Stegostoma tigrinum: one gene and its partners. The protein of the gene in region 1 purifies or fractionates together with the protein of each later gene. This does not show direct contact. Links are inferred from orthologs where the notes say so. Each region holds a gene or a part of one and is shown on either strand. Other genes may lie near its edges.

Region 1 (6,854 bases):
GCTGCTGGCAACGCATTCCATGCTCTCACAACTCTGTGTAAGACAGCTATCTCAACACCATTAGTGGGCAGAGATCTAGTGGAGAGATGTAGTGTTCTAGGAAACTTGCATATGAATTTGGAAAATGGTAACCTCATTCAACGATTCTAGAAAGAACACCAGAATAAGAAACAGGAAAGTAATCAACACAGTCCCTCAAGCTTGCTTTATAAAACCATAGCTGATCGGGTCTCAATTCCACTGATCACCTAGTCCCTATAAAGCTCGATACCTTTATGGTTTAGGATATCTACAACTCAGTACCAAATACGTTCAATGATTAAAGTTTCTACAGCCCTTTATGGAAATTCACAAAATTAGGGAAGAATTCACCCTCATCCTAGATTGGAGATGCTTCATTCTGAACCTGTGTCCCTTATCTCTACAATCCCCAATGCAATGAGAATGTATTTAGTATTTACCCTATCAATATTTCTAACCTCCAATGAGAAAAGGTCCCAGATTGCTCAATTGCTTCTTTAGACAATGTTGGATGGGGGAGCATTTACAAGGTCAAAGTGGTCGACTGTCAGTTTGAAGAGGGGTAGTGAGGGAAAATGTGAAAGGGGGTAGGGACAGAACCCAAGGAGTAAAACTAGGGCAGGAATAAGCTTTCAAGGAGGTTTGACCTAGGATGGTACAGGTAGGGAGGAATCCAACAGACATTGCCGATCAGATAGTCTCAATCTTAGTGACAGAAAAAATACCACAACTTCCTTGGACTTGTTGCTGGAGGTGAAGGTAATGAAAACAAGAGGACAATTTTTATAGAGTGAGGCTTGAGGAGACTTTGTTGAAGGAATAAGATCAAAGACATGATAACACAAAATATTGTCTCAAAGCCAAACTCAATCATCCACTAAAAGCTCATGGACTCCAGGAGTTTTGGCTCTGAGTGAATACTACTGTATTGTTGTAAAAGCTGATCTGGAGGATGATGCCAATAGGAGCAACTGAAAGGCAGAACACTGGGAAATTCCAGGTGCTCAGCTCCTGGAACAGTGAGCTGGACAGAGAAGTTATGGTTCTCCCAAACAATTGCTGATTTCAGGTTTCTACAGTAGTGGCGAGTTTAATTGTTCTTGGAACGTGGTGGGTGTCACTGGCGAGATCAACATTTGTTGCACATTCTTAAATTCCATTGAAGATGGGGAGATTGATCAACATTGTAATTTTGGTTTTACATAGCTGAGTGCATTGCTAAGCCATACAGCAGTTAAGAGTCAACCACATCGCTGACCCTGAAATCACAGGCCAGACCAGGTCAGAGCAGGTCAGAGCAGGTTTCAAGCTCCAAGAGGCAGATCAGCTTTTACAACAATACAGTAGTTTGAGTCACAAATTAATGAACTCAGTTTAGGTTCTTTTACCTATCATGGTAAAACATCCCAATGACACTGCTGTCCCATGGAGAAAGCCAATTTTAAAATATATCTTACACAATTGCTGCAGTAAATCTTATACTTAGGAGAAACTGCAGTCACACCACACCCATGGTGAAGGGAGCAGTTGTTTAAGATGGTTGATGGCCTTTAATCAAGCAGACTGCTTTGCCCTAGACAGTGTTGAACTTACAGCATCATTAGTATGCCATAACAGAATAGTGTCACTCCTGGCTTCTATTTACAACTGGTTGTCAAGCTTCAGGATTCAGAAGTTAGTCTAATTACTACACAACACTCGGTCTTAAACTTCATTCAGCCATAGAACACATGTGAACAGATCAGATAAGTTTCTGGTCAATGGTAACTCACCATCCACCAAGGTTTCTGCACATCATTGTACACGTACATTTCATGAATGGAAAATCAACAGAACTGGTGCACAACAGCAACCGCCAGAAAAGTGTAAAACTCTATAGGTGTGAAGCTGAAAAAACACAGGTCATCCAAGCAGGAAAGTCAACGTTTTGGGCCAAAACCCTTTGTCAGGGGAAGTTGTGAATTCTTCTCAGTGATGATCACTTTACAAAATTGGGCAGGAGGCAGAGAACATGGTCTCATTCAAACCTGAACAAAGTGGACCCTGTCTAGCCTGGGAGATTTTTTTTTAAAAAAGGAAAAAAAAATTAGGATTTCAATGCACAGGCAGAAGGGTATTCAGCACAGCTGAATCATATATACACCAACATACATGTCAAAGACCACAGGAACATGGAACTACACACAGTCATTCAGCTCTTCCAAATCACGGCTGATCTGATTTTAACCTCAACCCCACGTTTCTGCGTATCCCTTCGTAATCAAAAACCTATCCACCTCTGCCTTTTAAAAATGGTGCATCCGCTGCCTTTTCAGGAAGGGAATTACAGGCATTCAACCCTCACAAACAAAATGTTCCTTTATCCCATTTTAAAAGAAATACTGTTGCCCAGAGTTCCTACTATGCCTTAGTTCTACATTTTAGTTCAACAGAAAACATTCTTTCAGTGTTTCACCGAAACCCCAGCAGCCCCCTCTCAGCATCATGCCAATCTCACCCTGATTTCCTTCACGTCCTGCTTGCCACCCTCGGGATACCACTGCACCCGGACATAACCTTTCTTAAGGGGTCGCTCCCGGCCGGCGCCCTCCTCGTCCGTGTCCGAGCTCTCACCGCTACTGACCTCGCCATGAATTAAACCGACAATGCCGTGCCTCAAGGCCCCCTTGTAGGTGCCAGACACAAGGTCATCCACAAACAGGAGCCGTTGGCTGCCTGGGGCCGGGGACTGCGCGGGAGATGGTGCAGAGGATGGAGAACCTGGGACGGCAGGCCTCGGCTCTCCAGTGGCCGTGAGCAGGGGCCTCGGATCCCCAGGTGTTCCTCTGCCACCAGGGCCGGGTACCACAATGCTACCGGGACCGGGTTCCCCGGGTGTCGGGCTGTCCTGCGGCCCAGATGCCTCACACGGCAGACTATCGCCTAGCCCCGGATCACCGGGTGCTGGGCTACCGCCGATACCCAAATCCGCATCCGCCTCCATCGCCGCCGCTGGGAGAAGCCGCCCGGCAACGTGGTGACGTATTTACGTAGCGTAACCTTACGTCATAGCACGCTGGGGGCGGGACACCATGGTTGCGACTTTGATTGGTCGCTTCCTGGGGCGGGACAATCCTACGGGGCGGGGCAGTGTTTTGTTACCCACCCTCTTGTGTAGCCCCACCCTTTACGGCACATCCCCGCCCCGTTTGTCCCACTGTCCCCATTAGCCCCGCCCTATTTACCCATCCCCGCCCACTATTAACACCGCCTTCCCAACTAGCCCCGCCTATTTCTGCCGGCTGGCCTTGCCCTCCTTGTTAATCCTGAGATAGCTCCGCCCTCCTTGCTAGCCCCGCCTATTGATGGGTGTGCCCATGGCCGGGGAAACTGATCGGGGTGAAGGATCAGGATGTGGAATGCTGAGATTTTCGGAAATCTCTTCGTCAGGTCTCAGAGATGAGGAAACAAAATTACAACAGGTGGGACTGGGAGGATAGAAACATTATCTTTTAATGTTCGGACAGAATTAGACGCAGCTCCAGGCACGTGGAACTTGAGCCCAAGCCTTCAAGTGCAGACGTAGCGACATTACCATTGCGGATATCATTAAGGGATTTATTGGCATGGATTGAGAACTGGCTAATGGTCAAACACAAATCAATGCGTCACTTTCAAGTTGGCAGGCAAGTGACTAGGGTACAGGAGAATCAGTGCTTCACACTCGACTGCTCACAATTTATATCAATAATTTGGACGTGGGGATAAATGTAATGTTTTCAGCATTGCAGCGTTGGATTTTAAAGATTGGCCAGGTGGTTGACATTGAGGGAAAAATTGTTAGGTTACAGGAAGATATAATTTGATATAATCTGATTTGTCAGGTGGGCAGAGCAGTGGCAGATAGAGTTAAACACGGATGTGTGCAGTGATGCACATTGGAGGAAGTAACAAAACAGAGGAGTACTCATTTCCTGAAGAAGGGTCTAGACCTGAAACATCAGTTTTCCTGCTCCTCTGATGCTGCTTGGCCTGCTGTGTTCATCCAGCTCTACACCTTGCTATCTCAGATTCTCCAGCATCGGCAGTTCCTACTGTCTCAGTACTCAATGAATGGCAGGACACTAGGAAGATCAAAAAACAGATGGATCTAGGGATGCTTGTCCTCAGATTTCTGAATGTGGAGATGTTGGTGTTGGACAAAGTCAATGTCACACATGTTTACTTGAAATCACAACCTTTCAAAGCATGGCTCCTATGCCAGGTGCAGTGAGAGAGGAACACACAGAACAGAGCTTATAGGCAGAGAGATCAAAAGATCAAACAACTGGTGTGAGTAGAGTGTCAGATGATAAATCTCTGCAGGTGACCAAGAGTATTACACAGTGGATAAAGTGTCAACAGCTGACACTTGTGGGTGGCATGGTGGCTCAGTGGTTAGCACTGCAGCCTCACAGCGCCAGGGAGCTGGGTTCAATTCCTGCCTTGGGTGACTATCTGTGTGGAGTTTGCACACTCTCCCTGTAGCTGCATGGGTTTCCTCCGGGTGCTCCGGTTTCCTCCCACAGTCCAAAGATGTGCAGGGTAGGTGGATCGGCTATGCTAATATGCCCGTAGTGTTCAGGGGTGTGTGGGTTATAGGGGGATGGGTCTGGGTGGGATGCTTCAACAGGCGGTGCGGACTTGATGGGCCAAAGGTCCTGTTTCCACACTGTAGGTAATCTAATCTGATAACCATAATCCAATTAAGTGAGGCAGAGATAGTTATGAGAAAATTAGAAATAAGGTGGTGCTAGAGGCAAAATAAATTACAACTAACATGATAGGTATAAGAGTCACATGGGGAGGGTCCAACCAAACTAATAAGTAATACAAAACTGTACAAACTAATAATGGGACAGAGATCATAACAATTTATCAAGGGGGTGCTAGGACAGTGGGGAAGATTTTACAGATACAAAACAGTGTGGTGGGGTCACTTGTAGGACAACATGAACCCAAGATTACGGTTGAAGCCATCTTCATGGATATAGAACTTGGCTATCAATCTCTGCTCGGTGTTTCTGCGTTGTTGTGTATCTCAAAGTCCACCTTGAAGGATGCCTGCCTGAAGATCAGAAGCTGAATGCCGTTGACTGCTGAAGTATTCCCCCACTGGGAGGGACCACCCCTATCTGGTGATTGTTGAGCAGTGTCCATTCAACCATTCATCCTGGCACAATACTCATCATCAATGACAGGTTGAAGGCTGTGAATAACACGGCATAGTTTCTCCACTCTGACAAAGTACTGGACAACAAAGGGTATCCTATAGGTCATATCCTGTGTCCATCTTATGGAGAGGTCTTTGCGATTTTCTGTGGTGGCACATCAGAACTGGTGATTGATGAGCTGAGCATTGTATCCCGTCCTTATGAGGGCATCATTCAAAACCTTTAGGTGTCCATCGCATTCCTCCTAATCTGAGCAGATTCAGTACTTGCCCAGAGCAGAGAAATTGCACCATATTCTTTGCAGCCTTCAGCATGTCATCAGTGGCGATGAGCATCTCTCTACGCCTCCATTTCTCACCTTCAAAAAAACCACCAAACCTTAAACAGACCACTATTCGCAGCAAACTACTCAGCCTTCAGGTCAACATTGACCATAATGCCACACAATCCTGTCATGGCAACCTCTGCAAGACATGTCAGATCATCAACATGGACACTACCATCACACATGGGAACACCACCCACGATGTACATGGCAGATACTCATGTGACTCGCCCAATGTTGTCTATCCCTTACGCAGCAGGCAAGGATGCCCTGAGGCATGGTATTTTGGTGCAACCACACAGAAGTTACAAAAATCGATATTTGGACACTGCACAACAATGACCAGAAAGAAATGTTCCCTCCCAGTTGGAGAACACCAACGGTCAAAGACATTCAGTCTCCGATCTTCAGATAAGTGTCCTCCAAGGTGGACTTTGAGATACACAACAATGCAGAATCACCAAGCAGAAACTGACAGCCAAGTTCCATACCAATGAAGGCAGCCTCAACTGTGATCTTGGCTTTCTGTTTCACTACATGTGATCCCACCGCACTGTTCTGTATCTGTAAAATCTTCCTCACTGTCCTGTTTTGACACCATCATCTTGATAAATTGGTATGATCTCTCTGCCTTAAGTAGTTTGTACAGTTTTGAATTAGTTGTTACTTCGAGTAAAGCCTCGGCATGTATCTATCATGTTATTCCCGTCATTTAGTTTGCCTCCAGCACCACCTTATTTTTAACTTTTTGTGATTATCTCTCTGCCTCATTTAATCAGATTATAGGTCATCCTAATCGCTGGTTATTCAGCTGTTCACACTTTACTCACGGTCTAACAGTCTTGGTCACCTGCAGAGATTTATCATCTGACACTCCAGTCACACCAGTTAGTTGATCTTTTGATCTCTATGCCTATAAACTCTGTGACTGTGTGTTTCTCTCTCACTGCAATGGTCTAAAGGAGCAATGGTCTAAAAGCTTGTGATTTCAAATAAACCAGTTGGACTATAACCTGGTTAATAAAGTGTGAAGCTGGATGAACACAGCAGGCCAAGCAGCATCTCAGGAGCACAAAAGCTGATGTTTCAGGCCTAGACCCTTCATCAGAGAGGGGGATGGGGTGAGGGTTCTGGAATAAATAGGGATAGAGGGGGAAGCGGACCGAAGAGACTATGACCTGGTGTTGTGTGATGTCTGACTTTGTCCATAGATTTCTGAACGCAGCAGAACAGCTTGGTAGGGTAGTTAAGAAGTCATATAAGATATTAGCCTTTATGAATGGATTATAAGAGCAGGGAGTTTGTATTAGAGCTGT
Region 2 (6,879 bases), on another chromosome or scaffold:
TCGGTTTCTGGAAGGTTCTCTCGGTACCGGCCGCTCTCGCGGTAAACGCTGCATCATTTACCCGGGGCCACACACCGTCGGCCATTGCTTCCCCCCCTCCCCCACCCCAACCCAACCCAACCCAACCCAGTGTCCGGGGGCGCGCGTCCGGGCATGAAGGCTGCACTCGGTCGGGGGCGCGCCCGGGCGTTAAGTATACAGTCGGGTGTGCGCGCCCGAGCAGTCAGGCTGCTCTCGGCGGCGCGCGTCTGGGCATTAACGCTACACTCGGGGGGGGGGGGCGGGGCGGGGCGGGAGCCTCTCCTCGGGGGCGCGCGGGGGGGGGTGGCCGGGACCCTCTCCTCGGGGGCGCGCGGGGGGGGGGGTGGCCGGGACCCTCTCCTCGGGGGCGCGCGGGGGTTGGCCGGGAGCCTCTCCTCGGGGGCGCGCGGGGGGGGGTGGCCGGGACCCTCTCCTCGGGGGCGCGCGGGGGGAGGTGGCCGGGAGCCTCTCCTCGGGGGCGCGCGGGGGGGGCCGGGAGACTCTCCTCGGGGGCGCGCGGGGGGTGGTGGCCGGGAGACTCTCCTCGGGGGCGCGCGGGGGGTGGTGGCCGGGAGCCTCTCCTCGGGGGCGCGCGGGGGGAGGTGGCCGGGAGCCTCTCCTCGGGGGCGCGCGGGGGGGGGGGGTGGCCGGGAGACTCTCCTCGGGGGCGCGCGGGGGGAGGTGGCCGGGAGCCTCTCCTCGGGGGCGCGCGGGGGGAGGTGGCCGGGAGCCTCTCCTCGGGGGCGCGCGGGGGGGGGGGGTGGCCGGGAGCCTCTCCTCCGGGGGGGGGGGCGTGCGGACACGGGGTTTCTTCCTTCGGTTGGGGGAGGTGTGTGTGTGTGGGGTACGCTGGGTTGCCATGGCGACACCGTTAATGGGAGGGGGAGGGGGAGGGGGCGGGAGTGGGCCCTCGGAGCACCCTGCTCCCCCACTCCCCACCACCCCCTTTCTCATCCCTCCCCGTGCCCTTTGATCCCTTCAACCCTGAGAACTATCTCTGACTCCTTCTTGGGAGACATCCCATGTCCTGGAGAGAATTCCACAGGCTCCCCACCTCCTGGGTGAAGAGACATCTCCACATCTCAGTGTCCCACCACACTACCCTGACTCCGTGTTCCCTGGTTCTGGGCTTCTCCCACCCCCAGCACCAGGACCATCCTTCCTGCCTCGCCGCAGTACATTTCCTAAATTCCACCTGCCACTGCTTTGCCCACTGTCTATATATTCTGTGTGTTGCCCGTTCATTGAAACTTTGAATTTAATGTTCCTTATTTCCTGATTTAAAAACAAAAAACCCTTTAAGAAGTTACAAATGGCAATTATTGACCACTACTGGTTGTATCATTGCCAGTGTTTTCAATGCAACTAAGCCATTAGCTGGGGTTTTTTTAGAGGACAGTTAAAAATTAATAAATTTACAACTGCAAGTTTCTTTCACACAAAAGCAGCAGTAGATATATGGGTTTTTACAGTAATCCAATAACTTTGTACAGATTTGCAGAGTTAAAATTCCAAGCTTTGATACTGGAATTTGAATTTCCATTTGCAAGATTTACATTCATAATCGGAGTGACATAACCACCGCACTATCTAAAATGAGCAGTGTGTGGCACGGTGGCTCGGTGATTAGCACTGCAGCCTCACAGTACCAGGGACCCAGGTTCAATTCCATCCTTGAGCAACTGTCTATGTGGAGTTTGCACATTCTCTCCATGTTTGTGTGGGTTTCATCCGGGTGCTCCGGTTTCCTCCCACAGTCCAAAGATGTGCAGGTTAGGTGGATTGACCATGCTAAATTACCCGTTGTGTCTAGGGATGTTTTGGTTAGGTAGGTTAGACATGGGAAAATGCAGGGTTTTAGGGAAAGGGTAGGGGAATGGGACTGGGTGGGATGCTGTTCGGAGGGACAGTGTGGGCGGGCTTGTTGGACTGAATGGCCAGTTTCCACACTGTAAGGATTCTATGATTCACCATGCCCCACCCAATCCTAAATAAATACAATCCTGAGCGATCCAGTCGGTTCAGTTTATCTTGCTTAAGTTCATTGTGATTTATTGTCTCATTGTATTTATTCCAAATACAGTGTTGTTTCGTGTCACTCCTCCCCAGCACCACCATAAAACACAGAAGTGTAAAGCCCAGAAAATAAAACACTGAAGTTCATCTTAAAAAGTCTTATCTCAAAGTTTCGGTGGTCAGTGGAACAGCTCCTGCTTGCGGCTCAGCCGTGGACCTGGATTCGGGCTCCTCTGCCCCGATACCTTGAATCCCTGTGGCTAAATTGATGACACTTCTCTGTCGCACCGTCGGAACAAACAGGCACCAATCTCCGTCAGCATCTCACCTCGACTAACTCCTTCCCAATTACTCCAAATTCCACGAGAACACTTTTCTCTTTTACCCCTGATTCCTGACCCTGTGGATTCTTATTTTTTTGTCTGTAATTTGTATCCCGTTGTCAGCTTTCTTGCTAGCTTTCTACCTGAAGTGAGTTGTTTCTCAGCAGAATTCAAAAACTCCACTTCTAAGTGCTACTGTTGATCATAAAGATGCCTAGTGGTTGTGGTTAAGTTTTTTTTAGTGTGTTGCTGGCTGGACCAACGTTTGTAGCCGATCTCACGTTGCCTTAAGGAAGGGCGTCGGGGGTGCCACCTATAAATTGTTCAGGGGTGCGTTGGTTGGAATGCTGACTTGCTGAAGTAGTGTCTCTCTCATAAGAAAGCCACCAATGATAATATATACACTTCCAATTTTTCTTTAACTGTTGCAGTCCTTCAGGTGTGGGTACAGCCACACTGCTGTCTGAAAGGGGATCCTGGGATTTTGAGCCAGTGTCTCTGATTACTAGGTCCGGATGCTGAGTGAGTTGCAGGCAGCTGTTTCCCCATCTATCTACTGCCCTTGTCGTTCTGAGTGTTAGATGTTGTTGGTTTGTAGCCACAAATTTGTGTCTCATTTTCAGATCACCTGGTGCTGTTCCTGTGCTCTTCTATTGCCTCTCATGGAAACAAGCTTAGTCCCCCTAGCTTAATGGCAACAACAAAATGAAGCATGTGCTGAATTATGAGGTTGCAGATTGTAGTTGAATATATTACCACTGCTGTTCACTACAGCACCTCATTATCATGAGTTACTGGCCGTGAGTGGGATCACGAGCTCTCAGGGTTGGACCAGTGGCTGTTGTGAAGTTCTGATCAGGTGATTCCAGTCTGCTGGTTCCAAAAATGTCAGTCAAAAAGAGTAGCAAATAATGTTAAGCTTAGCTTCAATACCTCATCCTCCTTGCCCTTGAACCCCTCTCGCCCGGCACACCAACTTCATCTGTAATGAAAAGTAAAAACTGAACCTTTTTGGAAGGAATCTGATGGCAATGGTGTTTTCTGTTGGGAAGGAGAAAACCATGGCTGAAGATTAGGTGTGGCTGGGAATGATTCTGGCTGACTAGCACTCAACTTTGTGGAGCCAGCGAATGCAAAAGGGATTCAGAGTACGGCTGAGAAAGGGGTTTGAATGGATTGAACTGATGTATCAAATATTTGGAGTAGATTAGGAGTAAGGCACCATTCCTAGTGAATGAGAACAAATTAGCAGGAATTCTGGTACTTTTTCTTTTATCTTCCCATCCCTCATCTCCTGCCCTACTTTCTAAGATTGTTGAGGCCAAGTGTGGAGCTGGTAGCATCACCCTAACGCAGATCCCCTAAATCAACAGGGCTTTGAAGTGTATAAGAATTGGCAGCAAGTAGGGCAATACATACACCTAGTTGGATGTGTCAGGACCAAAGGGCTGAAAGTTGTCAAAGACTACTTTGTTTCATCTTTTGGTAAATGAACTAATGTCCGCTTTTTAACTTTCCAAAAATTGCATGCAATCAAATGTTTTATTTTGTCTTTTTTTTTCTCTTGTAGAAACAAATGAAGGATTGAGAGAAACCAGTGTGGACTGCTATTGGGAAATGGATCGATACAATGAGTTAAAACTTGCGCTGAAGAAGTGGGAGACTTCGTTCTTTGAGATAAACAGACGGAAGCCAACAAAGGTAATCTGGAATCTAGAAACTGAGTGTAGAATCCAAAGCATACATGGTTTGAAAACCTATCAGAAAAACTTTAACTGATTCAAATGTCACTGGCTGCACAGCTTCCTGTAAGAGTTAGTTCCTGATAGGTTGCCATCAAAAATAATTTGATACAAAAACAGAATAGCTGAAGAAACTCAGTTGGTCTGGCAGCATCTGTGCAGAGAAAGCAGAGTCAGCACTTTGGGTCCCTTCTTCAAAACTTGCAAAAAATAATCTAAGCTGCCTGTACCTGTTGAAGTATTGAAAAGAATTTGCATTGCCTTTCACAATTCACATTGCCTTGTGACATTGAGCAGTGTTTCGGTCAGTGAACGCAATTTTTAAAAAACTCACTGATCTGCATACTTGGTAAGGGCCTGTAAACAGAATGTAAAAAGAATGACCTTTTAAACATTGTTTTTTTTTCACATAGCTGCACAATAACTACCTTTAAGAGAATTTTTACATTTTTGAAAGTTGTAAATAGCAGATTAATGATGATTGTTGCGAAGTTGGTTAGAGTATTGTGGATTGGAAGGCAGGATGTTAGAATTTGGTGTTTGTAAAATGCCAGGGGAGAAAACCATACATGGTCCCTTTAAAAGACTATGTGTTTTTTCTATACTTAGGGATTTAAACAAAATGTCTGTGGGCAGCAGCTTATGGGTTTGCGGATACACAGAGAGCATCTGAATTGAAATATTTGTATCAAAAGCCTTATAGTTAACAGGCTGAGCAGCTGTTCTGTTTTGTTAGTAAGACAATAAGTTTTGATTTTAGTTAATCAATTTGAACCAGGCACTTAGAGACCAAAAATCATTTAACTTTAAGTCTGATGTTTTTGACAACATAGGTCCAATCCTGTTGCAAGAAATTGCAATACTGTCAAGGGTATAAAAGAGAGGGCAGTTGGCAAAAAAAAATCAGAAAAATTAACTGCCATCCGCCAGAGTTAACAGCTCTCGAGAGAATTGGTAGCTGTCACGGTCTTCTCTTAAGTTTTCGAGAAAGCACCATGTAAACCGAAGGTACCTAGGCACAGCGAGTTAATATTCCTGACAGAACATTCGATGGAGAATGTATAGAGCATTCTAAAAGACAATCTGGCTGTAATTGTGAGAGACTGAAGTCTGTTTAATTTTGTTATGTAAGTGAGACTAGTATTTATTGGAAAGCAGACCATTCAATTCCTGTTTTAATCAGGAATAGCTAGTACATAGAAGGGATTTATTCATTTTGGTAATAGTTTAGCTAATTTGTTCACTGTTAGAAAAATAAATTGTTAATTGTAAAGTGAATGTCAGGGACTTCTTTTATTTAACCACTAGAAGTTGCTGAGAAGCAGGTTATATCACTTCTCACACTCCTTTCTATTAACAAATTATAAGGCAAGGCAAGGTCTGGGTGTTTTTGGTTTTAGTTATTTGGTGAGGTGGGGTCAGCCTCTACTTTATAACATGATGGACTGCATAAATAAAATGTTACATCCTCTAATTCTGCAATAGCTTATATTGAATTTGGAGAAATACCATGCATTCATTTTTTATTCACTGATAGTCTTGGGTCTTTGGGTGTGTGCCAAATTGGAGACACTCTAGTATCCACGTTACCCTCAACCTTTATTATCTGAAAAACTATCAATAATCTTATCCTCACAAATAGGCTACATTGTTTGCTTAATCTCTGTGAATAACCAATGGAATTGGTATAAATTGAACCCTTAAGTCCAGTGAATCCTGCCATGACCTTTTTTCGGCTGAAATTTGATGACTTTTTTTGTCTTGGTTGTGAGTTTTTTGGCAATCAGGATGTTACTATTTTGATGGCTTTCAGATTTGCCCAGTTTTAGAAGAGAAATATTTTTGGACCCAATTGATTTCCCTATAAGCTTAGCCAAATTTTTATCTGTTTTGCTATTACTTCTAACACCAGCACGCTCATGTCTCTTTTGCCCTAAGCCGATCTTGTAACGGATGGTCCATCATGAATGTATTGAATGATGGAGCAGGCTCAACAGGATGAGTGGCCTATTCCCTTTCCCATGTTCTGGCGTGGTACCTTCAGACTCATTGCAAATTTAATTTGGTCTTCCATACTTTTATTTTTTCCCTCTGCTGGTTTTGGCGCATACCTGTGTTGCTGGTCACGCAAATCAATTTGGTCTCATCTAGAAATACACAGACCACTCATGATGTTTTAAAACTTTGACTTGATGGAGGAAATGCATTGTGTGATGGTGCGGATCAAGCTGATGTGGTTTTGTGTGGCTGCTTCACGTAGCCGTTGGTTATAAAGTACAATTTCAAATTATGATCTTTTAATTTTGTGGAATAAAGCTGCTCTGTCTGTCAAAGGAAACTTACTATTCCTTAAAATTTTCCTCTTCAGGTTGATGTGGCTTGTGCTTCAGAGGAGACTCAAAGTAAGTAATGTATGAAAGGAATACGTCTTGTTTCCTTAATTTAGCCAATTTATTGGTCGTGGATGGAGGGGAAAGAATGACTGGTACCCACTTCTAGTCGTACAATTGGGATGCAGGGAAAGTATCCATGCAGCATGTATCATGACATATTCTCCTTTGCAGCTTTTTCTGATTTCTTGTGGTTCTGAAGCCATTCTGATTTTTTGGTTTTTATCATCAAAGGTGAGATTCCTAGTTTATGGATTGTGTTGTTACAGATACATTAACTTGTATGTTTTGCTCGATAAAAATACAAACCTAAGTTTACTGAGCCATGAAGAAGGAAGGAATGGAAGTAGTTTGGGAAAATAGAGAAGGAAATTTTAAGGTGGAGAG
Region 3 (7,977 bases), on another chromosome or scaffold:
CCAATTTTGAACTCCAACGTTTAGATCAGGTCTATCCTTTCCTACAGCTATGTTAAAACTAATAGAATTATGCTCACTTGCCCCAAAGTGCTCCCTCATTGACACCTCTGACACTTGCACTGCCTTATTTCCCCAAGAGTAGATCAAGTTTTGATCCCTTTCTAGTAAGTACATCTACATGTGAAATACGAAAATTTTCTTGTACACACTTAACAATGTGATCTTTCAGGAATCACTGGAGTGAGGGAGGGTCTGACAGGACTGGAAAATTGCTGATGTAACATCTCAGTTTAAGGAGAGAAGGAGGCAAAGAAAGGAAGCTAAGTGCCAGTTAGCCTGACTTTGGACATTGGTAAGATTTTAGAGTCCATTATTAAAGGATAAGGATTGTGGAGTACTTGGAAGTGCATTGTAAAATGGGGAGAATCAGCATGGTTTCATCAAAGGGAGGTCATGCCTGACAAATCTATTTGAATTCTTTTAGGAGGTGACAAACAAGTTCACAAAGAAGAGCTAATTTTGATCCGTTTTGATTTTCAGGAGACATTTGACAAGGTGCACACAACAGGCTGTGAAATAAGAGCCCACGGTGATGGAGGCAATATACTAGCATGGATAGAGGACTGGCTGACTGGCAGAAGGCAGAGAATAGGGAAAAGAGATCTTTTCCAGGATTGCAGCTGGTGACTAATGGAGTGCTGCAGGGTTCAGTGTTGGGGCCACAACTATTCACATTACACATTAACGATCTGGATGATGGAACTGCATGCATTGTTATTACATTTGCAGATAATACAAAGATAGGTGGAGGAGCATGTAGCATTGAGGAAGGGGGGAATTTCAGAAAGACTTGGACAGGCTAGGAGAGTGGGGAAAGAAGTGGCAGATGGAATACAGTGTGGGAAAGTGCGAGGTGATACACTTTAGTAGGAAGAAAAGTAATACAGAAGTGGACTATTTTCTAAATGGAGAAAGGCTTCAGAAATCTGAAATACAAAGGAACTTAGGAGTCCTAGTTCAGGATTCCCTTCATGTTAATATGTAGGTTCAGATGGTAATTAGGAAGACAAATGGAATGTTAGCGTTCATTTCAGAAGGGTGAGGATACAACAGCAGAGGCTATACAAGGCTCTGGTCAGACAGCATCTGTAATATGCCCTGTATCTAAGGAAGGCTCTGCTGGCCTTGAAGGGGGTCCAGAGGAGGTTCACCCAGGAAGTTGGAGACTCTGGGTCTGTACTCCGGAGTAAGAAAGGTTAAGGGTGGAGCTCTTTGAAATTTAGAGAATACTGAATATAGTGGGCGTGGAGATGTATTCACCAGTAGCAGAGATACTAGGGCCTGCGGGCACAGCCTCAAAGTTAAGGGACAACCCCCTAAAGTTGAGATAAAGTTGAATTTCTTCAGCCAGAAGTTGGTGAATCTGTGAAACAGATTGCCGCAGACAGCTACATCATTCAGTGTGTTTAAGAGAGAGAAAGATAGGTTCTTAATTGGAAGGGATCAAGGGCTCTGGGGAGAAGGCAGGAGAATACAGTTGAGTGAAACAGATTAGCCATGATCAATTGGCGTAACAGGATCGATGGGCCGAATGACCTAAAATTCTGCTCCGATATCTTATTCCCTTCCCTCCACGATACTGTCGGTAATTGATACGATGAATCAGCACCGAGGTCGGCGATTCATTTGATAAGGGCAGGGGGCCGAGCGATTCCCAGGCCTCTTGGGAAAGCCGCAAGTTAAGGTAAAGATCCCGCATCTGGAGGCTGAAACTGTAGCTATTTGCCTCTGATAAAAACACCCGCATGAAGTCACTTGGCCAATCCCACAGCCTCCTCCAGTTTATCGCGGAACTGGAAAAGCAAACAGCCCGGGGACACAAGACTGTCCAGGTCATGACTAATCCTGATAAAATAACCCGAAAAAAAACAGACACACACAAAAAACATCTCGCATATTCCCGAGTCTTTACACCAGCCCATGCAAGATTTGCATTTTCACGCCTGCAATATTGGAAACAGTTTTAACGAGATGGGTTTAAAAACAGAAGTTGCTCGAAAAGTTCTGCCAGAGCTGCTGACCTTTTCCAGCAACTTCTGTTTTTGTCCCTGATTTACAGCATCCACAGTCCTTTCGATTTTTAAATGAGATGGGCTAGTCTTTCTCACTCCAATTCCCCTACCCTCAAACCCAGGATTAAATTCCGAGTGGGCAAACCTGGAGATGAAACGGCTCTGAGGAAGGGTCACTGGACCCGAAACATTATCTCTGATTTCTCTGCACTGACGATGCCTAGACCTGCTGAGCTTTTCCCATCAATTCCGGTTTGTGCAATCCATCCTAACTGTTTGTGAAATCCATCCCAACTGTTTGTAAACGGGTTAAATCAGGTGAGGAAGTGGTGCCATGTCTCAGACAGTAAGAGTCACGGTGTGGAGGCGCTGGACTAGGGTGGACAAAGTCAGAAGTCACAAGACATCGGGTCCATAGGTTTATTCGAAATAATAAAATGACATAATTTTATTTGAAATATTTGATTTCAAATAAACCTGTTAGACCATAACCTGGTGTCGTGTGACTTCTGACTTAAGACAGTGAGAGATGAAGGAGGGAGGGGTGGGGGGAACAAAACGATCAGATCTACCGGTAGATCGACGCTGACATCACTGCCGTCCAGGAGGGAGACTCTGCAGGTGATGATGGATTTGGAGTCTCCGGCCGCGGGGATGTGGATCCCTGATCGCTGTGCTTCCCTCTGCTTCTCCCGGTCAGCGTGCCGGCGCACCGTGCGGCGACCGAGAGTCCTCCTCAGTAAACCCAGCATTTTCCCCACGGCTCCAGCTGCAAACTCCCCAGCACCGCCCCCCCACCCTCCGCCTGATCACTCGCAGCAAAGTCGCCGATTCTTGTTTCAAAAAGTAACAATTCCCGAAACACAATGTAACCGAGATACAGCTCGCCCCTGTGCTGCACACAAACCACACACATGCAGCACCTCCTCTTCAAATTAACCTAATCCTTCCAGCTACAATAAAGAGCATGCGTCAATCCATCCCAGGAAATGGCGTCAGCCTCTTCCCAATTTAATTTTGGGAGTAGGAGGCTGGAATTATCTCCATTCAGCTCCTAATCCCTCAACCTCCATCTCTTTGGGGGTGGCTCAGGATTCGCGAGTGAACCTGTTTTCAAGATTTAACACTTACTGTGGGTTTTCAACTCCTTTTAAAAAAAACCAGAATTAACCCTGCCTGTGGGTTTAGTTTGTGAGTGTCTGCGTGTTATCTGCAGCATTGATTTCCTGCTTCATCCTGATGAGTGGATGTGCCCCTCGAGCACCTTTGGCTTTGTGCGGCACGGCTTGGAAACCGAGTAGCGCCGCGAATGGTGCGGCCTGTCCCTTCGTTTAAAAACTCAGCAACCGTGCGTCCTATCAGTTCGTAAGCTGTGTATTGTCGTCTCTCAGTCTAATTTACTCACACAGAGTGGGGGGCGGGGGAATGGTTTGTGAAAACTAACTTAAAAAATGCAAGAAGGCTCCAGGCCCGAAACGTAAGCCTTTCGGCTCCTCCGATGTTGCTTGGCCTGCTGTGTGCATCCAGCTCTATACCCTGGATAACAAAGTGTGGAGCTGGACGAACACAGCAGGCCAAGCAGCATCTCAGGAGCACAAAAGCTGACGTTTCGGGCCTAGACCCTTCATCAGATGTGTTCATCCAGCTCCACATTTTGTTATCTTGGATTCTCCAGCATCTGCAGTTCCCATTATTTCTGATGTCAGCTCTATACCCTGTCATCTTAAAAAAAAGTCCTTCCACGTACTCCCATATCCTCCAATCCAAGGACCTGAAACGTTGACACTGATTTTTCATCACAGATACTGCCAGGCTTTTCCGGCAACTTCTGTTTTGGTTCCTAACTCAGATCAAACTGTTAATTGTCACAGTCTCCGTTTTTATTATCCCCACTCTGCACACGTCCGTCGATAAGAAATGTTAAATTTGTTTTCCTTTCTCTCTCTCCGCACAAACGTCTGAACTCTAGGCCGGAAACGTCAGCTTTTGTGCTCCTGAGATGCTGCTTGGCCTGCTGTGTTCATCCAGCCTCACATTTTGCTTTCTTGGATTCTCCAGCATCTGCAGTTCCCATTATCTCTGAACATTTCCAGATTTTTTTTCAAAAAAAGTACATATTGATTAATGAGGCTCTTGCCCATTTAAGGTGAACGTCAGGTTGCCCTGTTTGAAAGATCCGCAAGCCCCAGGGTTAAAGCTATTACCCCAGAGGCACCATAGGGATTGAATTGTCCTGTAGGGGCTGGAGACTTGTCAGGGAGCCATATGCAAGCCCCTTAGCCCTGCTTGTCATTCTTTATTCGTGGGATGTGGGTGTCACTGCTATTTATTGCCCATCCCTAATTATCACCCACTTTGCTGTGGGTGTGAAATAGGCCAGACCAGGTAAGGATGGCCAATTTCCTTCCCTAATAGACACCAGTGAACCAGAAGGGTATTTACAAGAATTGACAGTAGTCATGTGTTTGCCATTCAATTTGTCAGAGCAGCACAGCAGCTCCATGGTTAATATTGCTACCCTGCAGTGCAAGCATTTGATTCCACCTTTGGATGACTGTGTGCATGTTCTCCAGTGTTTGCATGGGTTTCCTCCACAGTCCAAAGGTATGCAGGTCAGGTGGATTGGCCATGCCAAATTACCCATTGTGCCTGGGGATGTGTGGGTTAGATGGATTAGTCATGGGAAATGCAGGTCTACAAGGATTGGATAGGGAGATCGGTCTGGATAGGCTGCTGTTCAGAGGATCAGGATCGACTTGATGTGTCAAAGGGCCTGGCTCCACACTAGGGATTCAATGGTTTTTATTCCAGATTTTATTGAATTCAAACTGCACCAGCTGCTGCGGTAGAACTCAAACCTGTGCCCCAGAACATTAGCCTGGGTTTCTGGATAACTAGGGTAACAACATTTCCCACTATGCCACCGCTTCCCTCGATCTTATGTATGAAAAGCTTAACATGAGGGATAGTTGAGGACTCTGGGCCTATTCTCAACGGAGTTTAGAAGGATGAGGGGGGACCTAATTGAAACTTATAGAATACTCAATGGCCTGGACAGAGTGGATGTTGGGAAGATATTTCCATTGGTGGGACAGACTTGGACCCAAGGGCACAGCCTTAGAGTAAAAGGAAGACCTTTTAGAATGGAGATGAGGAGAAACTTCTTCAGCCAGAGAGTGGTGAATCTATGGAATTCACTGCCACAGAAGGCTGTGGAGGCCAGGTTACTGAGTATGTTTAAGATAGCAATAGTTAGGGTCTTGATTGTTAAGGGGATCAAAGGTTACAGGGAGAAAGTGGGAGAATGGGGTTGAGAAACATATCAGTCATGATTGACTGGTGGGGCAGAATGGCCTAATTTCTACTGCTATGTCTTATGGTGTTAAGGTGGATAGCGGTGCCATTTATATGACACAGCCTCCTGATTGAGCACCTCTGAACTGGCAAACAGGCAGCTTCTCGAGATGGAGAGGCCAAGCAGCAAGCCTGCAACAATGGTCAGCAATCTTCCCCAGTGAGAGAAATGGGCACTGCTGAGGCAGATATGTCAGACTTTAAAATGTGTTATTATCACTCTTTCATGGGATGTGGCTGTCATTTACAAGGCCAGCATTTGCTGCCCCAAGCCTAATTGTCTTTGAATTGAGTGTCGACCAGACTTGGTAAAGATGACAAATTTTCTTGCTAAAAGATTGTTTATGAACTAAACATAGGCTTTCTTAATGAAAATCGATAATGGTTTCCTAGCCAGTTTTTCTGAAATTAGTTTTATATTCCAGCCTTATTGCAAAATTCTACTGCCTTCTAAATCCCAGAGCATTAGTCTGGCCTATGGATTACTAATTCAGTGACGTTACCATAATTCTATCATCTCTGGAAGAGTGATGTAAATTTAAAACAATGTATTTATTCCTGTGGGTGTCACTGTTTTCTTTCCCTCTCTGTCCACAAACATCTGAACCTTTCCAAGTTTTTTTTTTAAAATGCATGCAATCTAGTATTGAGCTCCCTTACCCTAGGGAAAAGACCTTTGCTATTCATTTTATCCGTGTCCCTCAGGATTTTATAAACCTCTATAAAAAGTCACCTCTCCACCAATGAAAAACATCCCAGTCTATCCAGCCTCTCTTTATAACTCTAACCCTCCAGTCCTTGTAAATCTTTTCTGCATCCTCTCCAATTTTAAAATATCCTTCCTCTGGTAGGGTGACCAGAACTGTACAAGTACTCCAAAAGTGGCCTTACTAGTGTCTTGTACAACTCCAGTGTGACATCCCAACTCCTTTACTCATTGGTGTAAGCAATGAAGGCAAGTGTGCCAAATGCCTTTTTTACCACCCTTTCAAAGAACTACGTATCTGAACCTCAGGTCTCTCTGATTAACAATACTCCCCAAGGTCCTACCATTACCTGTACAAGTCGTGCCTTTTTCGTCTTGTCAAAATGCAACACCTCACATTTATCCAAATTAAAACTTGATCTGCCACTCCTTCGCCATTGGCCCAATTTATTAACATCCCTCTGTAATTGTAGTAACCTTCATTACTGTCCACTGCTCCATCAATTTTGGTGTCATCTGCAAACTTACTAAACATGTTTCCCAAATTCTTATTCAAACATAAATAAATGATAAACAACAATAGATCTGTGGAAAACACAGGCCTCCAGTTTGAAAAATAACCCTCTACCAAAATCCTCTGTCTCCAACCATCAAACTAATTTTGTGTCCAGTTTACAAACTCTTCCTAAGTCCCATGCGATTTAACTTTACTAACCAGTCTACCATGTGGAACCTTACCAAAGACTTTACTAAAAGTCCATGTAGACAACTTCTACTGCTCTGCCCTCATCTATTTTCTTGGCCACATCCTCAAAAAACTCAATCAAGTTTGAGAGACACAACTTCTGTTGCACAAAGCCATGCTGACCATCCCTAATCAATCTTTGCCTCTCCAAATGCATGCAAATCCTGTCTCTCAGAATCTGCTCCAACAACACATGCAACATTGATGTCAGACTCACCAGTCTGTAGTTTTCAGGCTTCTCCTTGCAGTCTTTCTTAAATAAAGCCACAAACACTAGCCTCCCTCCCATCTTACAGCACTCCACCTGAGGGTGTTGATGATACAAATATCGTTGCTAGGGGTTCCATAATTTCTTCCCTAGCTTCCTAAGTGTCTGGGCTACACTTGGCTATGTCTCCAGGACTTATCCATTTTCATGTTTTTAGGAACTCCAAGCACCCTTCTTCTATAACGTAGGCTCTTTTTAAGACATTGATAGTTACTTCCCAAGTTCCCTAGCTTCCATGTCTTTTTCCACAGAAAATACTGATGCAAAATATTCATTTAGTATTTCTATTCAGTATATTCCTCCTCAGGTTCCACACATAGACAATCTCATTGATCATCAAGGGACATATTCTCTCCCTCGTTGCTCTTTTCCTCTTAATGTACTTGTAGAATGTCGTTGGATTATCTTTAACCTTATCTGCCAAGGCTATCTCATATCCCCCTTCTCACCTGATTTCCTCCTTTGACTCTTCAAGCAAGTCACTTGATTTCAGTTGTCTCCCATGTTTACCTCAATTTAATTCTGGATATTAAAATATAATTGCACAGGTATTAAAGATTATTTTAAATTTTCTAACTCTTTATAATTAAGTTCATTGACTAAAAAGAGTTTATTGTTGTTTGTTCACAACAGAAGAATCTAATGGCATCCCACTCTTTGTAAATTCTTGGGATCTCACAGCTTGTCTACTTTGTAAAGTGATCTACAAGTCCATAGCCAAGTTATAACTTCAATTTGGTGGTCTCCTCCAAGATCATGATGTTAAAAAGTGCAAAAATATTTTCTACTTTCTTAAACATAATTTTGTCAGACAACATAGCACTTCATAGGC
Region 4 (7,274 bases), on another chromosome or scaffold:
GACTAATCAATGCTGTACTTCATAATGGGATTTTAAAATTACTTAACTATAAAAATCAGACTAAAACATGCACAGAAATTATCAAACTGAATGATCTCTGGTATGGAGGGACTCGCTTTTAAGCAAAGGTTAAACAGGTTGGGAGTCTGAGTTTAGAAGACAGAAAAGTGATTGCACTGATACACATAGGATTCTTAAAGGATTTGGCAGACTAAGTGCCAACAGGATGTTTCCCCTCATGGGAAGAGTCTAGGACCTGAGGGCATAGCCTCATAATAAAAGGGGCTTCAATTTAAGACTATGATAAGTAGGAATTCCTTCCCTCAGAGGGCTGAGTGGCTTTGGAACTCCACGTGAAATGCTGTGGCTATTTAAGGCTCAAATAAATAGATTTTTGATCAGTAGGGGAATCAAGGGCCACAGGGAAAAGGCAGGAAAGTGGATATGCGGAATGTCGGATCAGTGGAGCAGGTTTGAAGGGTCAAATGTTCCCATTTCTCACAATCTTATGAAATAGTTAGACATATTTGAATCAATGGATTGCAGTTTCAGGACGACAGCTCCAGAATTTTTAAAGTACACGAATAACATCTTTAGCACAGTGCTTAGAGAAGGACACAGGTTTGTTGATGCTGACACTCTTCATATTACTTTAAATCAAGGCTCACCTGCGTATATTTCTAAAAGATTCATGGCACTGAATTATCAGAAAATAGTTTGTGCTTTCTTCTCTAAAGCCACCAAAAGATACATTAGCTAGTTATTCACATGTCTCCTTGGAACCCTGCTCCCAGTGAGTGCAACTTTAGCATGAAAATGCAGAATGCAACTGAAAATTAATTAATTGGTTGAGAAATGCTTTGGCAAATCTAGAAAAAAATCCACAGACAAACAGCTCACATTTATACAGTACCTTGTATACTGAGAATATCTCTAAGCACTTCAATCAGTTAGTTACTTCCAATAATCAGTCTGTAGTACATGCAAATATATCAGTCAAATTATGTGTAACAATGTCACACCAACATTAAAAGGGTTTTGAAAATTTGGTCTGTTTTGGTTGGAATAGTTGAGAAAAGGTGATCAAACAGAATTTCCTATTCAGCAAATGATACAATGGAATCATTTACTCAAGGTGAATAACATAACTGGGCCTTATTTTATTCCCTTGTTAAATGTAACACCCTTCAACAAACAGAGCTTTGTAAATGGGTTTTGAGAAGATTTGTAGCTCAGGTTGAGTTTCTGGATGCGAGTTTGCTCGCTGAGCTGGAAGGTTCGTTTTCAGACGTTTCGTCACCATTCTAGGTAACATCAGTGAGCCTCCGATGAAGCGCTGGTGTTATGTCCTGCTTGTCCTAGGATGGATATGTTGTCCCAAACAGACACGCACGAGAATTCCTAGAAGCGTGGCATTCCAACTGGAACTCCATCAACAAACACATTGATTTGGAGCCCATCTACCATCCTCTGAGAAAAAGAACAGGAAATGATATCACCAACCCAAGGAAACCTAAGCAGATAAATAGAAAGCGGGGCATAACACCAGCGCTTCATCGGAGGCTCACTGATGACGTTACCTAGAATGGTGACGAAACGTCTGAAGACAAACCTTCCAGCTCAGCAAGCAAACTCACATCTGGAGAGTTTTGTAATATGTTCACCTCATGAGTTCATTAGATGGACTTGGAAACAATTCAGCAATAAAGTACTATCACCAATAACTAGACATTGATAATTGCATATTAACTTTCCAATTTGTATGGAACAAAGGACACAGAATGAAATAAAGATCTTAAATGTTGTTTCATATTTTCATTGGGGAGCACAAGCACCACTGGCATTCCAGATGAATATTACATAAGTGCCCAAAGTAATTTTAAAAAAACTTAAGATGTCAGAATAAATACTTCTGAAAACCAATGGTGGCCATACATGCCTACTATCCAACAGCCTTTAATTTGTAATTGAAAAAGTAAAGAACTGCAGGTGCTGTAAATCAGAAAAAAAATTAAAAATACTGGCACAGGCGAGTAGGTGTGATAGCATCGCTTTCTCTCTACAGACACTGCCAGATCTATAGAACTTTTCCAGGAGGTTTTATTTTTGTTTTAGCCTTTAATTCTTTGTTAAGCAAATTCACACTTAAACGTGAACGTAACTGATCCACAAATAAGCAAACCTTAGAACTGATTTGGAAGTTTTAATAATCAAATTACCCAACTGTGTACTACTTGAAGATGGCAAAACAGTATCATGTTAATAAATAAAAGCAAAACACTATAAATGTTGGAGATTCAAAATTAACACAAAGCCCTGAGAAATTCAGCAGGTCTGACAGCATTTGTGGAGAAATGCAGTGTTAACGTTTTAAGTCAAATACGACTCTTCTTGGGATTGGATAAGTGATGCTGACTTTATGCTGTAAAAGGTTGGCGGGGGATGGGCACGTAAGGACAGACGATACCTTACGCATTTGGAGCAGGCAGAAGTAATATCCTGTTTGTATTGCTTCCCCCCCTCCCCAATTGGTTTAAAAGCTTCAGGGCGTCTGAGGCCCACCCCTCCCCATAGAGACAGCTAGGTGGACTTCCACAGTGTGTGTGTCTGTTTACTGCTACCTTAAAAACATGACCTGCCGAGTAAACACCGCACTGCGGCCGCTGTAAACATTCAACCTTCAAGCCTCAAATTCAGCAGAACACGCATCTCGGATCCGGCGTGCAAGGCTTTTTGGGGGGTGGTCTGAACTCCCACCTTGTATGTCCCTGCAACACGTGAAGATTTCACCCTCTGCCTACAACAAGCCGCTCAGACAGCACTTTCTGTTCGCCGCAGCCCGGGCCTCTAACCATTCATTCATCTATCCTTCCGTCCGTTCGTTCGTTCGTCCACCTATCCATCCCTCACCTGTACCTGCGCTCCGCAACCGTTGCTCCCGCCCGGCCGCCTCACAGCCACCACCGCGCGCTAATGGCGGACACCAAAGAGGCCACTTCCCATTGGTCGCCCCCTCCCCGCCTGACGTCAGGGAGCACAGAGCCGACCAATTAGAGGGCACGAGCCCGCCGGGTGCCGGATTCGTCGGCTCTTAAAGGCGGCCGAATTTTAACCTGCCGGCTAAAAATAGAGCTTTCGGAGAGACGCTGACGGCCCAAGATTCACCGTCCATTCCCAATAGGTTTTGGTGCGAAGGCATCGAAAGCTCACGAAAAGACACGATGTAAATGTAGGATATGTGCCTCCCTAGGTTACTGAGCGTACAGGTTTGTCTTGGAGACTCCAGGATTTGAAAATTACTCGCTCAGGCGCGTCTCCCTTCATTATTACTGGGCTCGATTAACCAAAAAAAAGTTTTCATTTATTTATTAATCATTGCAACGAAAGGTTTCTGATTTGCGCATTACAGTGTTTAGAGTCCGTGTTTTAGAATGGATAGTGTATGGGGGATTGGTTACTTTTCTGAAGGGTTAAAAAATAAATCAGACAATCCTTGCAGAATACTGTCCTAATCCAGTGTCTGTTAGCGAGGAGGAATTTCTGGAGTGACGATGGAAGTAATGAGATCAGTTGGTTTGGTTTTGGCGCAGAAAAATCCAAAGTTTTTTTTCTTTAAGTTTTGGAATTCCAGAGTTTGAAAGTTTTTGGTTAATTCAAACAGGGCAAAGCAGGAAGCTGGGCAAACACAGCAGGTCGGCCAGCATCTGGAGGAAAGGAGCTGCCAACGTTTCGGGTATTACCCTTCTTCAGGACTGGGTATCGGGGGAGGGGGAGCTGCAGATAAATGGAGGGGTGGGGGCGGTGTTTAACAGATTGGTGGTGATAGGTGGACACTGATGGCAGGTATGACCTGGTTGGTTGATGGGAGGGTTGAATGCAGTTGATGGCTGGAAGAGAGGGTCAGTAGGCAGAATGGAAGGGGCTGGAAAGGGAGCTGGGGGATGCCTGGGAATGTTATTTGAATTTGGAGGACTCAATGTTGAGTCCTACAGGCTGTAGGGTGCCCAGGCAGAAGATAAGGTGTTGTTCTTCAAATTTGCGTTCTTGTTCGATGTGACACTGGGGGAAGCTGAGGATGGACATGTTGCAAGGAGGGCACGGCTGGTGGTGGTGGTGTGTTGAAATGGGCAGTGGCCATTATAGGCCAGGTGAAGGTGCTCTGCCAAACAGTCACCTAGTCTACGGTTGGTCTCACTGATGTAGAGGAGGGCACATTGGGAACACCAGATGGAATCTGACCTGGCAGAGCTGTTTGATGCCTTGGATGGGGGTGAGGGAGGTGGTGTGTGGGCAAGTGTTGTATCTTTTATGGTTAGAGGGGAAGGTACTGGGCGGATTGGAGTGCTTGGTGGGGAGTGTGGCGCGAACTAAGGAATGGCGAAGGGAATGGTCCTCACGGAAGGCAGAGAGGGGTGGGGAGCGAAAGATGTTCCAGGTGGTTGATCTTATTGGAGGTGGCAAAAGTTTGGGGATGATACGTTGGGTGCAGAGGATGGTTGGGGTGGCAAGTGAGGACAGCTGGCGCTATCTTTATTATGTTTGGTGGTGGAGTGGTTAAGAGCTGTGTAGTGGGGAATGGAGGAGGCGCAGTGTAGGGCTGTCTGGATGACAGAGGGAGGAATAGAGCAATGTTTGATAAAGGCAGACATCCAGGATGCTTCTGAAGATTTGATTGAGATCATAGGCCATTTCTCTTTGTAAAAGGGATATTGTTCAGTTCAGGGAAAGCACTCTTGACCTCAGTAGAAAAATAATAGTTTGTACTGCTTTTAGACCAAAGTGTTTAGTCAAAAAATCTGCAATTTATTATAAACTGAAAAGATTTAAGAACTTAGATTTGTAAGTGTTCATGTAAGAAGGCTTAACGGTATACAAGAGCACTGGTGGATTCAGTTTTGTCAGTCTTAAAGATTTTATATTCAGGACTTCTGTAGCGTAGTGAGTTTGGGAAATAAATTGAAACTTCGGTTTGCTGGGTGTTTTAAGATTTTTTTTCCCAGCTGAGCTGTAAATCTAGATGATTTAGTTTGTTAATTTTGTCTTTTCAGTAGTAGCCTTCTGTTTTCTTGACTCAAAACTTTTAACTGTTTTTGTCTTTGCAGATCCTGTCAAACCTGCTATGTTTTTCCAGCACTTTGTTTTTATTAGAAATAATTGTTTAATGCTTCTATCATCTTTCAGTCATTACCTGTAATTGTTTCCTATCAATCTCTCAATGGTCCTATTATCATGCTAATCTTTCATTTTTGTTGGATGTGGGTGGTGTTGGCTGGCTGGCATTTCTTGCCCCTCTATTGTTGCCCTTCAGAAGGTGGTGGTGAGCTGCCTTCTTGAACTGCTGCAATCCCCCTGCTGTGGGTAGACCCACAATGCTATTATGGAGGCTATTCCAGATTTTGACCCAGTGACATTGAAAGAACATGGAGGTGGTGGTGTTCCTGTATGCCTGATGCCTTTGTCCTTCTAGGTGGAACTGATCGTGGGTTTGGAAGGTGGTGTCTGAGGATCTTGGGTGAATTTCTGCAGTGCATCTTGTAGTTAGTACGCACTGCTGCTAATGAGTGGCGCTAGTGGAGGGAGTGGATGCTTGTAGATGTAGTGCCAATCAAGCAGGCTGCTTTGTTTCCAGGATGGTGTCAAGCTTTTTGAGTGCTGTGGGGCTGCACTGATCCAGGTAACTGGGGAGTATTCCATCGCACTCCTGACTTGTGCCTTGTAGCTGGTGAACAGACTTTGACGAGTCAGGAGGTGAGTTACTCGCCACAGTATTCCCAGCTTCTGGCCAGCTGTTGTAGCTGCTGTGTTAATGTGGTGAGTCCAGTTGAGTTTCTGGTCAATGGTAACCCCCTGGATGTTCATAGTGGGAGATTCAGTGATGATAACACCATTGAATGTCAAGGGACGGTGGTAGATTGTCTCTTATTGGTGATAGTCATAGTCTGGCATTTGCGTGGCTTGAATGTCACTTGTCACTTGTCAGCCCAAGCATGGATATTGTCCAGATCTTTTTGCATGTGAACATGGACTGCTTCAGCATCTGAGGAGTCATGAATGGTGCTGAACATTGTGCAATTGTCCAGTCATCGGCGAGCATCCCCACTTCTGACCTTATGATGGAGAGAAGGTCATTGATGAAGCAGCTGAAGATGATTGGGCCTAGGCTACTACCTTGACTCCTGCAGAGATGTCCTGGAGCTGGGATGATTGACCTCCCACAACAATGACCATCTTCCTATGTGTCAGGTATGACTCCAACCACCGGAGTGTTTGCCTCCGATACCCATTGATTCCAGTTTTGCCAGAGTTCCTTGATGCCACACTCTGTCAAATGCAGCCTTGATATCAAGGGCTGTCACTCTCACCTCACCCCCGGAATTCAGCTCTTTTGTCCATGTTTGAACCATGGCTGTAATAAGATCAGGAGCTGAGTGACCCTGGCGGAACCCAGACTGGGTGTCACTGAGCGGATTATTTCTGAGCAGGTGCTGCTTGATGGCACTGTTGATGACACCTTCCATCACTTTATCGATGATTGAGAGGAAACTGATGGGGCAGCAACTGGCTGGGTTGGATTTGATCTGCTTTTTGTGTACAGGACATACCTGGGTGATTTTACACATTGTTGGGTAGATGCCCGTGTTGGAACTGTACTGGAAAGCTTAGCTGGTGACTGGCAGTTCTGGAGCACAAGTCTTCAGTACTATTGCCAGAATATTGTCCGGGCCAGCAACCTTTGCGGTACCCAGTGTCTCCGAACATTTCTTGATATCACGTGGACTGAATCGAATTGGCTGAAGACTGGTATCTGTAATGCTGGGGACCACTTGAGGAGGCCAAGATGGTTCATCCACGTGGCACTTCTGGCTGAAGATTGCTACGAACGCTGTGGGTTTGGAGTCATATGTAGGCCAGACAGGTGAGGGTGGCAGATTTCCTCCCCTGAAGGACATTAGTGAGTGAGCTTTTTGCGTCAATCGGCAATGATTTTATGGTGATCAGTAGATTCTTAATTCCAGATATTTTTTATTGAATTCAAATTCCACCATCTGCCGTGGTGGAATTCGGACCTGAATCCCCAGAACATCCGCTGGGTCTCTGGATTAATAATCCAGCGATAATACCACTAGGCCATTTATTTTATTATTACCTATCAAATATTTTGTTTTATTTCATAATTTCAACTTCATAAATTCCTCTTTGCCTTCCTAATTTTTGTCTTCCCTCCTAATCTCTACCCATTTTCTTCTGTCATGCAGTCTTCTGCTTTCTGTAGA

What was found.
Region 2: the proteins of (E3-independent) E2 ubiquitin-conjugating enzyme UBE2O (region 1) and recql4 purify together in Homo sapiens (affinity purification with mass spectrometry; 3 studies listed by BioGRID, with this or other methods). This does not show direct contact. The link is inferred for Stegostoma tigrinum from reciprocal best matches to the Homo sapiens genes UBE2O and RECQL4.
Region 3: the proteins of (E3-independent) E2 ubiquitin-conjugating enzyme UBE2O (region 1) and epb41l5 purify together in Homo sapiens (affinity purification with mass spectrometry; 3 studies listed by BioGRID and IntAct, counting the BioPlex papers as one, with this or other methods). This does not show direct contact. The link is inferred for Stegostoma tigrinum from reciprocal best matches to the Homo sapiens genes UBE2O and EPB41L5.
Region 4: the proteins of (E3-independent) E2 ubiquitin-conjugating enzyme UBE2O (region 1) and nap1l4b purify together in Homo sapiens (affinity purification with mass spectrometry; 3 studies listed by BioGRID, with this or other methods). This does not show direct contact. The link is inferred for Stegostoma tigrinum from reciprocal best matches to the Homo sapiens genes UBE2O and NAP1L4.

The regions. Positions count from the first base shown.
Region 1 is NC_081375.1:2,583,978-2,590,831, forward strand, and holds the start of (E3-independent) E2 ubiquitin-conjugating enzyme UBE2O, read right to left. Parts: upstream 3,022-6,854; 5' UTR 3,005-3,021; coding exon 2,519-3,004; intron 1-2,518. UniProt on the Homo sapiens protein: E2/E3 hybrid ubiquitin-protein ligase that displays both E2 and E3 ligase activities and mediates monoubiquitination of target proteins. Negatively regulates TRAF6-mediated NF-kappa-B activation independently of its E2 activity.
Region 2 is NC_081355.1:155,526,284-155,533,162, forward strand, and holds the start of recql4 (ATP-dependent DNA helicase Q4), read left to right. Parts: upstream 1-3,857; 5' UTR 3,858-3,887; coding exon 3,888-4,061; intron 4,062-6,470; coding exon 6,471-6,504; intron 6,505-6,879. UniProt on the Homo sapiens protein: An ATP-dependent DNA helicase which unwinds dsDNA with a 3'-overhang in a 3'-5' direction. Does not unwind more than 18 bp of dsDNA. May modulate chromosome segregation. The N-terminal domain (residues 1-54) binds DNA Y-shaped DNA better than ss- or dsDNA.
Region 3 is NC_081360.1:89,538,499-89,546,475, forward strand, and holds the start of epb41l5 (band 4.1-like protein 5), read right to left. Parts: upstream 3,020-7,977; 5' UTR 2,825-3,019; coding exon 2,645-2,824; intron 1-2,644. UniProt on the Homo sapiens protein: Plays a role in the formation and organization of tight junctions during the establishment of polarity in epithelial cells.
Region 4 is NC_081370.1:8,636,552-8,643,825, reverse strand, and holds the start of nap1l4b (nucleosome assembly protein 1-like 4b), read right to left. Parts: upstream 3,018-7,274; 5' UTR 2,917-3,017; exon of another isoform or gene 2,911-2,916; intron 2,876-2,910; exon of another isoform or gene 2,758-2,875; intron 1-2,757. UniProt on the Homo sapiens protein: Acts as a histone chaperone in nucleosome assembly.